Linked DNA regions of Saccharomyces cerevisiae S288C. The protein of the gene in region 1 binds, or shares a complex with, the protein of each later gene. Each region holds a gene or a part of one and is shown in the gene's direction. Other genes may lie near its edges.

What was found.
Region 2: CDC48 (region 1) and RQC1 share a complex: the UniProt entries of both Saccharomyces cerevisiae proteins name them as parts of the ribosome quality control complex.
Region 3: CDC48 (region 1) and UFD1 share a complex: the UniProt entries of both Saccharomyces cerevisiae proteins name them as parts of the heterotrimeric CDC48-NPL4-UFD1 ATPase complex.

The regions. Positions count from the first base shown.
Region 1 is NC_001136.10:234,489-240,898, reverse strand, and holds CDC48 (AAA family ATPase CDC48), read left to right. Parts: upstream 1-2,234; coding exon 2,235-4,742; downstream 4,743-6,410. Other genes in the region: YDL124W (aldo-keto reductase superfamily protein), read right to left, coding at 1-640; HNT1 (adenosine 5'-monophosphoramidase), read left to right, coding at 1,293-1,389, 1,501-1,880; cyclin PCL2, read right to left, coding at 5,046-5,972. UniProt on the Saccharomyces cerevisiae protein: ATP-dependent chaperone which probably uses the energy provided by ATP hydrolysis to generate mechanical force to unfold substrate proteins, disassemble protein complexes, and disaggregate protein aggregates.
Region 2 is NC_001136.10:1,131,252-1,137,051, reverse strand, and holds RQC1 (Rqc1p), read left to right. Parts: upstream 1-1,620; coding exon 1,621-3,792; downstream 3,793-5,800. Other genes in the region: chromatin-remodeling protein SWR1, read right to left, coding at 1-1,120; IRC3 (double-stranded DNA-dependent ATPase), read right to left, coding at 3,982-5,800. UniProt on the Saccharomyces cerevisiae protein: Component of the ribosome quality control complex (RQC), a ribosome-associated complex that mediates ubiquitination and extraction of incompletely synthesized nascent chains for proteasomal degradation.
Region 3 is NC_001139.9:588,254-593,172, forward strand, and holds UFD1 (polyubiquitin-binding protein UFD1), read left to right. Parts: upstream 1-1,572; coding exon 1,573-2,658; downstream 2,659-4,919. Other genes in the region: transcription factor TFIIIC subunit TFC4, read right to left, coding at 1-1,216; SCM4 (Scm4p), read left to right, coding at 3,061-3,624; YGR050C (uncharacterized protein), read right to left, coding at 3,833-4,189. UniProt on the Saccharomyces cerevisiae protein: Functions at a post-ubiquitation step in the ubiquitin fusion degradation (UFD) pathway. Has a role in the endoplasmic reticulum-associated degradation (ERAD) pathway.

The DNA.
Region 1 (6,410 bases):
GTAAGGGACCTAGTGGCGAGTATGCTTCTACCAATATATCATGTTCTTGGCAAAATTTGTAGATCCCTGGTGTTTGATTCTGCAAGAAGGGACTGAACTCAATTTGATTAACTTGGGGCTTGACTTCCGCAACTTTCAGAATTCTTTGCAAGTCTTCCACAGCAAAGTTGGAAACACCGATATTTTTAGCTTTACCTGATTTGTACAATTGCTCCATGTCCTTCCAGGCTTCCTCCAAACTTAACCCGTTGACCTCTTTGGAAACAAATGGGCTATGCAAAAGGTATAGATCGACATAGTCAGTGCCCATCTTCTTCAAAGCTAAATCTAGTCCATCCGCTGGGGAATCTGACATCTTGATTTGAGGTGAGTACTTGTCTGTCAAGAATATTGCATTTCTTGGTTTTTCGGTGAGGCTAAGTGCCTTCCCAACTTCTGGATATGTTCTGTAGATCTCAGCAGCATCAATGTGAATAATGCCAGGTAACTTCAGAGCATAAACAATCTGTTCGACCAAACTGTTCGAAAAGGTAGCATCCGTTTCTTCGTTTTTATACCATCTAGTACCTGTCCCAATGATGGCGATTGCGGGGATTTTATTTCCATTATTCAAGGTAAAGAACTGTTGGTGAAATGACATCTGTAAAAGTGTTGTTAACTGACCTCCGTTTCTTTAGGGTAACACAACCGTTTACATGTGTATCCATATCCACGTAGTATCCGACTATCAATATATCCGTATATATATATATATATATATGGGATGAGCGTATGTGAGTGTTTTCGTAGATATTCAAAATACGAGTAAAGGAGATCCTAGGTGTGGATTAGTAAGGGGAGTGTGGCAACTTCCTTTTTCCGGTTAATTCTCCGCGCTTTCGTTAGACTATTTTGCAAGGACCCAAATAGGAGACGCATGGAGGCTTCTACAAAACAGCGTGCCGTTTTGATGGCATGAGCAGGGGGCGCAAAGGAAACACCGGTAAATCGCGCAAGACCTTGTTGGCCACGTAGCCTCAAAGGTTGAATTGACACTTGTCTACAGAACTTGAAAAGTACAAAAGGAGGTCACATAAAACAGTAAGCTTGAGAAGCTTTAAGATATGGTGCGAATCGTTACAGAATATTCCTTGCAGAAATAATGGCGGGTCCGTTCTCTTCTGAAGAAGTTACCGCCCTACTGAAGCATTGCTGTACGATCGTGTAATGTGATGTGTGTTCGACTGGAAAGCGGAGAACATTATGAAGTAAAAGGACAATCAGCACGCCTTCCAGACTTTTAAGAAACATTGATGGAGCCATTGATATCGGCACCGTACCTAACAACAACAAAAATGTCTGCTCCTGCTACGCTTGATGCTGCCTGTATTTTTTGCAAGATTATTAAAAGTATGTCACATTACTAATAAAGAGCTTACACTCACACCAATGATGGCGATAGTCTCTATGTAGTACATATACATAAAGCAGAATACTAACAATCGATCCGCTATGCAACAGGCGAAATTCCATCCTTCAAATTGATTGAAACAAAGTACTCGTATGCTTTCTTGGACATCCAACCTACTGCTGAAGGTCATGCTTTAATCATTCCTAAGTACCATGGTGCGAAGTTGCATGACATCCCGGACGAATTCCTTACCGATGCTATGCCGATTGCCAAGAGACTGGCCAAGGCAATGAAGTTGGACACTTATAATGTGTTGCAGAATAATGGTAAAATTGCGCATCAAGAAGTCGACCACGTCCACTTCCATTTGATTCCTAAGAGAGATGAGAAAAGTGGTTTGATTGTAGGGTGGCCAGCCCAAGAAACGGACTTCGATAAGTTGGGCAAGCTACACAAGGAATTGCTTGCCAAACTAGAAGGCTCCGATTAGAGTAATGCATGCTATGATTTCTTTTAGCGTTTTCTTTTCATATTTAAGTTTATACATATGGGTGTGTTTGCTTCCATTCATATCCACTCTATAATGCTAACAATCATGTTACTAGCCATCGTTGCTATCGATACCTTATGAACAGCTCTAACTCCTTCCTTTTTAACCTACCGCCTTTTGCGCACTACCCGGCAACCCCTCGAATGTGAATTCGGTGGCAAAAAAGGACATATATCAGGGCCGTGTATTTAAGAGATCCGCAGTTGATGTAGTCAATTAATCTAGTTCTATTAAGATTTGACTCAACGCCATTGACTCGATAACTGGCTCAACTACAAGACAGATATACAAATCATGGGTGAAGAACATAAACCACTTTTGGACGCCTCGGGTGTCGACCCTCGTGAGGAGGATAAAACCGCCACCGCCATTTTAAGAAGAAAGAAGAAGGACAACATGCTTTTGGTGGACGATGCTATCAATGATGACAATTCTGTCATTGCTATTAATTCTAACACCATGGACAAATTGGAATTGTTCCGTGGTGACACCGTTCTCGTTAAGGGCAAGAAGAGAAAAGATACTGTCTTAATTGTGTTGATCGATGACGAATTAGAAGACGGAGCATGCAGGATAAACCGTGTAGTTCGTAACAATTTACGTATTAGGCTGGGTGATTTAGTTACAATTCATCCTTGCCCCGATATCAAATACGCTACTAGAATTTCTGTGTTACCAATTGCTGATACGATCGAAGGTATAACTGGTAATCTTTTCGATGTTTTTTTGAAGCCTTATTTTGTGGAAGCCTACAGACCAGTGAGGAAAGGCGACCATTTTGTTGTCAGAGGCGGTATGAGACAAGTCGAATTCAAGGTTGTGGATGTCGAACCTGAAGAATATGCCGTCGTTGCTCAGGATACTATTATTCACTGGGAAGGTGAGCCAATCAACAGGGAAGATGAAGAAAATAATATGAATGAGGTGGGTTACGATGATATTGGTGGTTGTCGTAAGCAAATGGCTCAAATTAGGGAAATGGTTGAACTACCATTGAGACATCCTCAGTTGTTCAAGGCTATCGGTATCAAGCCACCAAGAGGTGTTTTGATGTATGGTCCCCCTGGTACTGGTAAAACCTTGATGGCAAGAGCTGTTGCTAATGAGACCGGTGCCTTTTTTTTCTTAATTAATGGTCCAGAAGTCATGTCAAAAATGGCTGGTGAATCAGAGTCTAACTTAAGAAAGGCCTTTGAAGAAGCCGAAAAGAACGCTCCAGCCATCATTTTTATCGATGAAATCGATTCTATAGCTCCAAAGAGAGACAAGACTAATGGTGAAGTTGAGAGAAGAGTTGTCTCTCAATTGTTAACTTTAATGGATGGTATGAAGGCAAGATCTAATGTTGTTGTCATTGCTGCTACCAATAGACCAAATTCGATTGATCCCGCTTTAAGAAGATTTGGTAGATTCGATCGTGAAGTCGACATTGGTATCCCAGATGCTACAGGTAGACTTGAAGTTCTACGTATTCACACCAAGAACATGAAGTTGGCTGATGATGTTGATTTGGAAGCATTGGCTGCTGAAACACACGGTTACGTGGGTGCTGATATTGCCTCTTTGTGTTCTGAAGCTGCCATGCAACAGATCCGTGAAAAAATGGACTTGATAGATTTAGATGAAGATGAAATTGATGCAGAGGTGCTCGATTCTTTAGGAGTCACCATGGACAACTTCAGATTCGCATTGGGCAATTCAAACCCATCTGCATTGCGTGAAACCGTTGTTGAAAGTGTCAATGTTACTTGGGATGACGTTGGTGGCCTAGATGAAATCAAGGAGGAATTGAAGGAAACTGTAGAATACCCAGTCTTACATCCAGACCAATACACAAAGTTTGGGTTATCACCATCAAAGGGTGTGTTGTTCTACGGTCCACCAGGTACAGGTAAAACTTTGTTAGCAAAAGCTGTAGCTACTGAGGTTTCTGCCAACTTTATCTCAGTCAAAGGTCCAGAATTATTGAGTATGTGGTATGGTGAATCGGAATCTAACATCCGTGATATTTTTGATAAGGCAAGAGCAGCTGCACCAACCGTCGTTTTTCTAGATGAATTAGACTCCATTGCCAAGGCAAGAGGTGGTTCCTTGGGTGATGCTGGTGGTGCTTCGGATAGAGTCGTCAACCAACTATTAACAGAAATGGATGGTATGAATGCTAAGAAAAATGTGTTCGTGATTGGTGCCACCAATAGGCCAGATCAAATTGATCCTGCTATTTTAAGACCTGGCAGATTGGATCAATTAATTTATGTTCCATTGCCAGATGAAAACGCTAGATTATCTATTCTAAATGCTCAATTAAGGAAAACACCACTAGAACCAGGGCTAGAGTTAACTGCGATTGCCAAGGCCACTCAAGGTTTCTCTGGTGCTGATTTACTCTATATTGTGCAGAGGGCTGCTAAATACGCTATCAAGGATTCTATCGAAGCTCACAGACAACACGAAGCTGAAAAGGAAGTGAAAGTAGAAGGTGAAGACGTGGAAATGACAGATGAGGGAGCAAAGGCTGAACAAGAACCAGAAGTAGATCCTGTTCCATATATTACAAAGGAGCATTTCGCAGAAGCTATGAAGACCGCTAAACGTTCTGTTTCAGATGCTGAATTGCGTCGTTATGAAGCATACTCACAGCAAATGAAAGCATCTAGAGGTCAATTCAGTAATTTCAACTTTAATGACGCTCCATTAGGTACTACGGCTACGGACAATGCTAACAGTAATAATAGTGCTCCAAGTGGAGCAGGTGCTGCATTTGGTTCTAATGCGGAGGAAGATGATGATTTGTATAGTTAGTTATATGCCAGGTATATTTTTATTTTAAATCGTAAATTCAAGTCATTTCTATAAAAAAAATCGTCAATTTTAACTCAATATTTTATGGCCCTTTTTATATTTATTTTCAAATTTGTCAAAAAAAGGAGAGCTAAATCATTAGAAAAAGAATGCATTATGGTATATTTATGTATATTAATATGTAAAATAAGAAAAAAGGGAGGCTGTAGGACCTCGGTCGTAAGAACATTTACCTGTGTTCTTCCGCCTTTTCCGAAAGTGCCATGAAGAAACGCAGGCCAGGCATAATTTCGACATTTAAAATCACGATTTGAAGTAATTTGACCAATTCGATTTCTTTACTTTTGTATCTTCTTTTATTATCTGTTTGTTTAACCCAGTTTTCAAGATCACAGGGCGCGCTTTACTAAAATTAAAAGGCTTAATTGTCGGTATTGGCCTATTTTCCTTGTTATCGTGTTTGGAGTCTATGTTGTATGTTCGCGGAGAAAACTTGTCGCTAATGTTATTGGATTCGTGTAGTTCGGGCAAAGTTCGTATTCTGTTACTATAATTGGATAAATTCGATCTTCTAGATTCCAACGTGGAGAGGGTCGAAGTGGAAGCTAAAGATGGGATAGACATATTGGACGATGAGCGCGAATGGGAAATGGATGTTTTGTTTACTATGTCTTTTTCTTGAGCAGAAAAATTTTTCAACGTGCGACAGTCTCTTTGCGATTTGTACAACTGCTCCTCTTTGATAGGCTTCAAGAATGGCGAGAGACATGTAATTAAATCATCTGTGGAAATGGTGACGTCCCAATCAAAATATTCTAATAGTTCCCTTTCAATAGTATTAACCTCCCTTAGGATGAGAAGGCCGTCCGTATATTCGGCCCAGTGTTTGTTAAGAGGGGAGGAATCATTTAACGTTTTTGCAGCTAATATTAGGCAACCTAAGAATATTCTATGCCTGGTGGTCTCTATACCATAAACGTTACTCGGTATTATTGATCTTAATTTGGCCAAATATACAGAGGTAGCCATCAGAGTCGGAGTTTGAACGTTAGAATGCTTGATCAGTCTGTTGATGAATTTAGTCAACGGTGGTGCTGGCAATGCAATATCTATCATACTATTCGTCTTCTTAATTTTGATAATGGAAGCTGTGGTCGATGCTAGATATTGCACCATTTCCTTAGATACAGCCTTCCTATTGAATTTCAGCAAGGCTTCGTAGTTTGACATCTTTTGTAGTAAAAAGTTGCTGCCGTATTGAAATTGCTCTTGTCGGATCAGGTTGTTTAGCACCGGGTCTTACTTTTATAAAGGAGAATTATAAAGTGAAAGAAAGGAGAACTTATAAGACTAAAGAAAAAAACACTTAAGAAGCACTTAAACTTGCATTAGATGTGTAAATCGATCAACCTGTAACATGTTTGAGGAAGGTCTCACACGTCTCCGAAGTTACAGCTACCACTTAGCGTGTCTGCGGGAACAATAGATCTCTTCCCAATTTGCACTAAATAGGTAACTAGCCAGGCCTATAAAAATCTTCGAGCGGAGAATTGACCGTAGTATCTGCCAAAAAAATCCACCTGCACCAGCATTTTTCGTGTTACGCGAAGTCTACTTTTCGCGTCATCAAAAGACGCTATAAAAATATAGCTGGGCTAATTTTATTCT
Region 2 (5,800 bases), 900 kb from region 1:
TTCTTGCCTTTGTTGAACTTCTAAACAGCTTACTCATATGAATACCTTGGTTAATTAAGTGATCGGTATGGATTTGCAGATCTTGTTGTTTATAGAAATATGAAATCGGGTCTGGTTTATATGTTATGATAGTCTTGATTTCCTTGGATGTTATAGGTTGTAGTGAGTCCGTTTCTTTGTCATACTTCAATGCGCCATTTTCAATACCTTTTTTGAGTCTCGATAAAAGCCGTCTTTGTTCGTCGATGTATTTATTATATTCTTCCAGCGTTAAATCGTCTTCTAATGACTTAAAGGAAGCGATGTATTCGTGCAAGCTTTCGTATCCCGGCTTGACTACATGCAACGGGTTCGTTATGGTTTGCTTTGGAGGATGGACTACCAGTTTTATTCTAGGCTTCTTTTTCTTTCTACCTCTTTTTTTCTTTATATCTTCCTCTTCGGATGATGTGGTGAAATAAAAATTATCACTATAATGTTCACTAGTATTTTCAAAGGAGCTATCATCAGAAGGACACTTTATAGTGAAGGCTTCAGAGGGTTCTTCAACTTTTGCGATGTGATCATATCTCTCTTCAGCTATATGTTCATGCAATGGCAGTGGATTTTCCTTTCTTTCACTTTTGAACTTCAAGGACTTCGCTGCTTCTCTCTTCTTCAAATGTTGTATTGGTCTTTTTTGCGGTACTATAGATTTCCTATTTGAATGATCACTTAGTTTGTATTTTAGCTCCTCACATTTATTTCGTACTAATGGTGCTATGCTTTCTAACTTCAGTTCTATATCACCCTTTTTCTCATTAGTCGTTTCTGAACTAACAACTGTCGATGTCCTGAGGTTTCGCCTTCTGCGAGTAAGATCACCATTCGTGCCTTTCTTGGCTACGTCATCAGTGAATTTTTCTCCTCTCTCCTCTAACGACAAGTGTGTTTCCCTGAGAAACTTCTGAAAACTTTCAGAATCATTAAAATGGGTTGGATCATAATCTACCAATGAAACAAACTCTCTTAAATGGAACAGTTCATTCGTCAGAAGATCATACCTAAACTTCAAATCCGCCAGATCCTGTTCACCACCAGCCTTTTTGTCTTTCGCATGCGATTTACGAGATGTGGTCATATATTCTTGTAATGCAATAACTTGGAAAATGCAAAGAGCAGTTAGAATTCATAAATTTTCAGCTTAAGGAAATATTTTCTAAGAGTTAAAATGGTATTGTTGAATACCTCTCAAATGCAGTAATCGAATGCTTTGGGTCTTATCTAGTTTAAAGCTCAAAATCTATCCTTTTTGCACGTAAACACTTTAGAATCCCGCTATCCCTTTGCACTCTTTCTTCAAGTCTCCTCTTTTTTTTTTTTCTCGTAAGTTGTCGCGAAACGCCACCGAAAAATCTTAAGGAAATAATATTAAAAACTGAAAAAAAAAAAATTGAGAAAGTATTACCCTCCCTTAATAATCGTATAGAGGTATAAACGGGTAACATTATGCGAGCAATATGTTCACTACTGCATCAACGTATAGTGAAAAATGTCCATAGGTAGTACATACAGTCCACCAGTTGAAGGTTAACATACAGGTCGTTGAATCATCTAAATATATTTGTAAAGTACTCGAACATGAGCTCTAGAGCATTAAGGAGATTACAAGATGATAATGCTCTGCTAGAGTCGCTGCTATCGAATTCAAATGCGAATAAAATGACGAGTGGTAAAAGTACTGCCGGTAATATTCAGAAACGGGAGAACATCTTCTCTATGATGAATAACGTACGTGATTCAGATAATAGCACTGATGAAGGACAAATGTCTGAGCAGGATGAAGAAGCTGCTGCTGCTGGGGAGCGTGATACTCAAAGTAATGGTCAACCTAAAAGAATTACACTAGCATCCAAGTCTTCTAGAAGGAAAAAGAATAAAAAGGCAAAAAGGAAGCAAAAAAACCATACCGCCGAGGCTGCAAAAGACAAGGGTTCCGATGATGATGATGATGATGAAGAATTCGACAAGATTATCCAACAGTTCAAAAAAACTGATATATTGAAGTACGGTAAGACTAAAAATGATGACACTAATGAGGAAGGTTTCTTCACGGCATCTGAACCAGAGGAAGCATCTAGCCAACCTTGGAAGTCATTTTTAAGCTTAGAAAGTGATCCGGGCTTCACAAAGTTCCCCATTTCATGTTTGAGGCATTCTTGCAAATTTTTTCAAAATGATTTCAAGAAATTGGACCCCCATACGGAATTCAAACTTTTATTTGACGATATATCTCCAGAGTCTCTTGAAGATATTGATTCGATGACATCCACACCTGTCTCCCCTCAGCAGCTGAAACAGATTCAGAGACTGAAAAGATTAATTAGAAACTGGGGCGGAAAAGATCATAGATTGGCACCTAATGGCCCCGGAATGCACCCGCAACATTTGAAGTTTACCAAGATCAGAGATGATTGGATCCCAACTCAAAGAGGTGAGCTCTCTATGAAACTTTTAAGTTCTGATGATCTTTTAGATTGGCAATTATGGGAAAGGCCGTTAGATTGGAAGGATGTTATCCAAAACGATGTCAGTCAGTGGCAAAAATTCATTTCTTTTTATAAGTTCGAACCTTTAAATTCCGACCTGAGCAAGAAATCAATGATGGACTTCTACTTAAGTGTTATTGTTCACCCTGATCATGAAGCCCTTATAAATTTGATTTCTTCTAAATTTCCGTATCATGTGCCTGGACTGCTACAAGTTGCTTTGATATTTATTAGGCAAGGTGATAGATCAAACACTAATGGATTGTTACAAAGAGCACTCTTTGTCTTTGATAGAGCTTTGAAAGCAAATATTATTTTCGATTCCTTGAATTGTCAACTACCTTATATATACTTCTTCAACAGACAGTTTTACTTGGCAATATTTAGATACATCCAATCTCTTGCTCAAAGAGGTGTTATAGGAACTGCTAGTGAATGGACAAAAGTTCTCTGGTCACTGAGCCCATTGGAAGATCCTTTAGGATGCAGGTATTTCCTCGATCACTATTTTCTATTGAATAATGACTATCAGTACATTATAGAATTATCCAACTCTCCATTAATGAACTGTTATAAACAGTGGAATACTTTAGGATTTTCCTTGGCGGTAGTACTAAGCTTCCTAAGAATAAATGAGATGAGTTCCGCCCGCAATGCGCTTCTAAAAGCCTTTAAGCATCATCCTTTACAACTGTCAGAACTTTTCAAGGAGAAACTCTTGGGCGATCATGCGCTAACTAAAGATTTATCCATTGATGGCCATTCGGCAGAAAACTTGGAATTAAAGGCATATATGGCCCGCTTCCCGTTACTTTGGAATAGAAACGAAGAGGTAACATTTTTGCATGATGAAATGTCGAGTATTTTACAGGATTACCATAGAGGAAACGTTACAATCGATTCAAATGATGGGCAAGATCACAATAACATTAACAACTTGCAATCACCTTTCTTTATTGCGGGAATCCCAATTAACTTATTAAGATTCGCCATACTATCTGAGGAGTCTTCTGTAATGGCTGCAATTCCATCATTTATCTGGTCTGATAATGAAGTATATGAGTTTGACGTATTACCACCAATGCCTACGTCAAAAGAATCAATCGAAGTGGTTGAAAACATCAAAACCTTTATTAATGAAAAGGATTTAGCTGTCCTTCAGGCAGAAAGAATGCAAGATGAGGACCTGTTGAATCAAATTAGACAAATATCTTTGCAACAGTACATTCATGAAAATGAAGAGTCAAATGAAAATGAGGGTTAATAAGAAATGTTGCAGCTCATTTTCTAGTACGCAGAGTAAGGCTAAAGCACTTATTTGAATTTAACGTTATTCATTGCATAGTTCAGAAAGGGTGTGATCCAAAAGAAAATGCATATACGAGTGGTCCGACGTTTACATATGTACTAGTGACTGTATATTAATATATGCACATTTATGTAGCTACGGATTTCACTTTATAAAAGATCTTCTTTTTTGATATTCTAATATTCGTAACAATGATTTCAACGGGTAGACAGGTGCCAAACTGCTGGCAAAGATTAAGTTGGAAGCATCTCCTTTCGTCATCTTAGTATTTACATAAGTAGTAACATCATCCAAAGATAATCTAATAAAATCTTTTGAGGACTCACCATATACTTTCTTTAGCTTTCTGAAAACAAAGTCTCTTTGTTTTGACGTAGGAACTGTTTGTCTCCATTTCGAGTATTTACTAGATATTGCCTGGTATTGCATTGTTTGTCCTTCCAAGTCCGAATTTAGAGTATTTATGATTTTTTCCACCTTTGACATTACATTCCAAAGATTAGCGTCTTTTATTATACTTTTTGGAACATAGTCCGCGTATTTATTTGTTATAAAACACGGTAATTGTCGATACATTTTTAGATGATATACCATCGACAATTTGTCTTCGGATTTTTCTTTGTATATTCTCAAATGATTCTTACCTTTTAAAGGGAGGCCCCACGCATTTGAGGCAAATTTCACCCACGGATATTGTGAGTTCATCAACAGCTCCATTTCTTTTACAGCTTCAGAAGCTTCATCAAACTCCTTGCCAGATGGATATGAGTTATTGCTCTGTGTAAAATTCCTAAAACTATCAAAGGAGCACAAGGTTAAATCAACCGAATTTGCACTGTGAATCCAATCGGCAACGCTATTTCTTTCAGTTACATTTTCCATTGCTGCTTCATCAGTCTGAAATAAAGCCCTTAACCTTTCGTCGATTTTTTGTTGTTTAGCTATTATCTCTCCTTGGATTGCTTTTAAATCTTCAACTGTAGCATCATCAAATTCGATATCATCACTCCTTATACCCAGTAGAGTGGGCGCTGAAACCACTCCAACACTAGAAGCTCCAATGAAGTCGATGATATGACAGTGGTCTTTCGAATGGTGTAACCGTAAACCTCTTCCAATCATTTGAATCAAAAGTGAACGCGATTTTGTGGGCCTACACAGTAGTATACAATCAATATTTGGCATGTCCGTTCCTTCTGTGAATATTCCACAGTTCATGAGTACTTCAGTTTCCCCATTTTTGAATTTTTGAATTATATTATCTCGTTCTATCTGTTTTGTATCCGAGGTGACATAGTCCGTATTAATACCGTTGTCTTTAAATAATTTATGCAAACTTTGTACATGGGCTTTATCAACGCCAAACAGTAATGTTGATTTTAGTGATTTCTCTTGCTTTTTATGAAGGTAAGTTTTCAGAATTACTTCATTAATTTCTTTCGTATTCATTAGAGACGATAACGGTGCCAGCTGGAAGTCATCTGCAGTGCTTTTTACATCTGATAAGTCTGCTTCAATTTTGACTGACGTGAATTTTGCCTCACATAGCCACTTGTCATCGATCATTTCCAGTATTCCCCGGTGGTACACAATTTTATCCATTACCATTGACAAAGCTCTTTTATCTGCTCTTTCGAAAGTCGCACTAAAGCCAATAACAGGGATTTTGGTTTCTGCAGTTGAAGCTTTGAAATGATCTAAGATACTTCTATAAGAATTAGCCACAGAATGATGTGCTTCATCAATGATGATGAGATTCACTGAATTAGTATCATATTTATGGAGTCTTCTAATCAACGTCTGAACAGATGCAACAATCACGTCAGAATCTTCAATATCGCAATCATATTTTCCCATTTCTATGTGAACCTTTAAGTCGGGGAATATTTTTTTAAGAGTGGCCGTCGCTTGTAAGGCCAGCTCCCTCCTGTGAACCAGGATCAACGATTTAAAATTTCCTTGA
Region 3 (4,919 bases), on another chromosome or scaffold:
ATTCTGAATCATCTGGAACATGATCCCAAAATGTCTGGCTTTCGCGGCGTTGAATCCACCGTGCACATTTTTTAATTGTCTTTATACCATCGACCTCACTAACTGCGAGTTTTAAGAAAAGTTCCGCGAGAATGTTCAAAGAAGACCAGTCAAATGGTATGCATTTATATTTTGCATCAATTTTTTTCCAGTTGATGTCAGGAAACATCTGCCTATCTTCATCTTGTTCAAGGGGTTCCTTTTCGTCTGCATCCTCCCCTTCTGCGGCGCTTTCTTCGTCTGAAGAATCTAAGGCATTTTCTAAAGCAGCTAATATCGCTTCCCTTCTCTCAACATTAGCATTAAACACTTTCATATAGAGCTCAATTGAATCTTCAATCCGATCATAATCAACATAAAGAATGGCCAACTCCCTCAATATGTTTGCATCATAAGGATTGTACATGTAAAGCCTTTGAAATCCATCTAAAGCTCTTGCTAACTGTCCTGTCTTCTTGTACAACATAGACCGGCGATAAATTGATTCCCATTCCATAGGATTCAAACTTATTACCCTGGAAAAGCAGTAGATGGCCTGCCTAACATGATCTAAATCGGCGGACAGTATAGCGACTATCTTCCAGAATTCCCAATCGGAAGCATTTAGGTGAGCTGCCAGGAACCAAGAGTTACAACAATCATTAAGCCTTCCTTGCAATTGATATATATCTCCTAGGGTCTCGTAAGCAGCAAAATTACGTGCATCTTTTTTAATTACCTCATTAAATAATCTTTCGGCCACTTGTAAATCATTCCTGACAAAAGCTTCATTGGCTTGAGAAAGTAATTGCGCTACCTCTGGATCAAGCACTCTTTCTTTTCTTTGGCGGCCGTAAGATTTACCTTTGTCATTTTTCTTCTTCTTTTTTACCTTAAAGTTACTTGCTTCCCTAATCGCGTTCATGAAATCTTCCTCATCGTCTTCAGATATTTCACCGTAGTCCGAGAATTCTGCCAACAAAGAACTGTCTCGTTCGGAATTATATTCATCTTCGCTTAATTGTAGATCATGAGGTACATCCTCGTCATCATATTCCTCATCTTGAATCAAATGCTTATAGTCATCAATATTTCCGTATAGATGCTCTTCATCCTCATCGTTAACTTTACCCGTATCAGCGCTTTCTCGTTCAGCTGATTGATTTTGCTGTTCCTTTTTCAATTTTCCTGCTGCCATCACAGATACACTTGAGGGTTTCTTTCTCTAGCTTCAGATTCATTGTTGACTGGTGTTATTATACACAGTGCGCTGCCATTATTATCGTTCTTCTATTTCTAGCCGAAGCGCCTTAAAAAAAAAAAGTGTCCACTTTGGGAAACTCGCCTTTACGACGAAAAAGTCAAACTTGCGTTCTACGAAAGAGAAGAATTCCTTTTTTGGGTTAGGTGGCGAAAAATAAAGGTAGTTAAAAGTAATCCTGGCTGGTCTATGTGAATAGGGAAGAGATAATGATGTAGTTTTCAATAGATAGTAACACATACCATAGCAAGGGAGGAAAAAATATCAAAGTGATACTGTAAAATATAATAAAAATGTTTTCTGGCTTTAGTTCTTTTGGCGGCGGAAATGGTTTTGTAAATATGCCTCAAACGTTTGAGGAGTTCTTTAGATGCTACCCTATAGCTATGATGAATGATAGAATACGGAAGGATGACGCAAACTTCGGCGGGAAAATATTCCTGCCACCAAGTGCTCTAAGCAAACTATCCATGTTGAACATAAGATACCCCATGCTTTTTAAACTAACTGCCAATGAAACTGGACGTGTGACACATGGAGGTGTTTTAGAATTTATTGCTGAAGAGGGCAGAGTTTACTTACCACAATGGATGATGGAAACTTTGGGTATACAGCCAGGATCTCTACTGCAAATTTCATCTACTGATGTACCTCTGGGCCAGTTTGTGAAGTTAGAACCTCAGTCTGTAGATTTCTTGGATATTTCCGACCCCAAAGCAGTTTTGGAAAACGTACTGAGGAATTTCTCGACTTTGACCGTGGACGATGTTATTGAGATTAGTTACAATGGTAAAACTTTCAAAATTAAGATCTTAGAAGTCAAACCAGAATCATCATCGAAGAGTATATGTGTCATTGAAACAGATTTAGTAACAGATTTTGCTCCACCTGTAGGATATGTGGAACCGGATTACAAAGCGCTGAAAGCTCAGCAAGATAAAGAAAAAAAGAATTCTTTTGGTAAGGGCCAAGTTTTGGATCCCTCGGTGCTTGGCCAGGGATCGATGTCCACAAGAATCGACTATGCGGGTATCGCTAACAGTAGCAGAAACAAACTATCTAAATTTGTAGGTCAGGGACAAAACATATCTGGTAAAGCTCCGAAAGCGGAGCCCAAGCAAGATATAAAAGATATGAAGATAACGTTTGATGGCGAGCCCGCCAAGCTAGATCTGCCTGAAGGCCAATTATTCTTTGGTTTCCCAATGGTCCTACCGAAAGAAGACGAAGAAAGTGCCGCTGGTAGCAAATCCAGTGAACAAAATTTCCAAGGCCAAGGGATCTCACTAAGGAAGAGCAATAAGAGAAAAACGAAAAGTGACCATGATTCGTCCAAGTCCAAGGCTCCCAAAAGCCCGGAAGTAATCGAAATTGACTAAAAGATATATACTAGTATACAACAATATAGTGTCTTTGACAGATATATAGAGCATTTTCAAGTTAACAGATCTTAGAATCCAAGTATCTTATGCATCGCATTAGCTCTGCTGCATTTGCTGTTCGTTTAGTAAAAATAATTACGTGCGCGGTTGCGCGATATTTCCCTTGCTTAATGCCGAAGTAATTCTCTTCGTTTACCCATACTCGAATCTATTGTGTTGTTGAAAAATAAAAAAAAAAAGAACCAGGTTATATAATTGTGAGTTGATCAGTATATAAATGAGAGAAAAGAAGTTTCTATTGTTCCAAATTATATCCAAGCTGATTTTTTAACCCTTACCTCACGAAAAGCAAGTTTAAGACAAACACTCATAAGAATCCTTACATATACTAAAAAACAAATGCAAGTCTCCCCAGCTATTGTAAAAGGTATCGCAGTCTCATCATTAGGTTTATACGCCGGTATTTTAACTTCATCTACCGTGATTTCTATTACCACCCCAATAAATGTTCTAACTCAACATTTGAAGAATGTTTTGTGCACATTAGGATGCTGGAGCACCGTTTTAGGTGGTTTAGCTACTGGTGCCTTTGGACTCAGCTACTATCTAGCTGCACCAGGAGAAAGACCAAACTACCTTTTGTGCGGACTTGGTGTCGCCCCATTATCTGCAGCCTACCTATACTTAGTATCACTGTTCAATCACAAGCTAGCCCCAAAATGCACACGTGACCAAAATGATTTAGAAAAGCAAAAGGATGAAAAATTACCCCAACATCACCCGGAAGTCAAAGATGGGGAAGCTGCATGCCCATTCTCAAAGATGAACAACGCCAAAACATTAAAACCTGAATCCGAAAGAAGCGTAAAATGTCACTCATACATGTCATTGCACATGAGCATTGTAACCGGTATAACAATTTTTACCTTTGGTAAGTGTATCCTAGATGGATTCAAAGCATGAACGACGAAGCACGTGACACGTTCCCTTCAAACATCACAATTATTTAAGCGAGACTAATATATATGTTTAGCGAAAAAAAAGGCCAAAAAAACTAGTAAATATACAAAGCAGAGTATTTTTGGCTCTTGTCCACATTGGATAAGAGAATATTTATTTTTCACACAGAAAAAAAAGTTATATACGTATCTCTAAGAAAGTCAAAGACAAATTACGTAGAATGTGATTCATTCCCATTTCGCCCGTACACTCTCTGTCTCTGTCTCTGTCCCAAACTTCCCTTCCTATACGTATTCATAATCTGCTTAAACGTCAACAGTAGTTTCGGAACATCTTCATACGTAGGGAATACGACTTTTTTCTTTTCACCTGCAGCTTGAGCCAAACTAAAACTGGGATCCGGATAAACTATTAATAAAGGATCGCAAAGTCCATACGCCAGTTTAATGGGAATGAAATGATATTGCGAAGTGACGTCAAGAATCGACTTTAAGCTATATCCGAAGTCAAGAAAGCCGAACCTTACATGCGGTCGGAAAGCAAACGAGGAGATTAGATTGGTTTTCATATCCGCTAAATTTTCTTTTGATTTTACTTTGGCTTAATCTAATGCATGTATATCGGAAGAAGCAACCGATCTGGCCCAGTTGAGTCGTGCTACCTTAGTCATGCCCAGGAAAACCGGATTCCTTCTTTTCATTATGACATCCGTTTAGGTCAATAGGCTTTTTTTTCTCTCGCCCGTGCCTCTCCGTGTTCGATGAATGTGCAGCTTGCCTCCGAGCGGGCGAGCCACCTCGAGCGGGTGACGAAATAGTGGAAAAGAAACGGGGAAGCAAAACTGTGCTGTTCTGGCCCGCAGCGGACGAACGTCATTAAAGGCGCTCCATTTCTGTCGTGAGGGTCTTTCGGTGCGGTGGTGAGGCTGCGTAAACAAGCTTGCTCTTCATACCCCTCCCGTGGAGCTAGTTCGGAAGGACTATTGGCGCATCTTCTGTTGAGAGGTTCCGTAATTCTCCGTAACGTCCCGTTCACCACTTTGCATGTGCTCTCACGTACGGCCGTCTCTTTTCGGCCTTCGGCCCGTTCCGATTTTTGTACCCCTTACGTGCTTTGAATTCTAGAAGGCATCTCCTCTCCGATGGCTTGGTACAGGGAGCACTAGGGAAATTGCACATGGAAGTATCTGGAATACAAAGTTTTTGAAAAGAAAAGCCGAGCGTAATATTGGGACAATACCCAGTTCTCAGCCTTTTCAGCGCGGGTATGAGACAGCTTGCAACAGGTAAAAGGAAGTT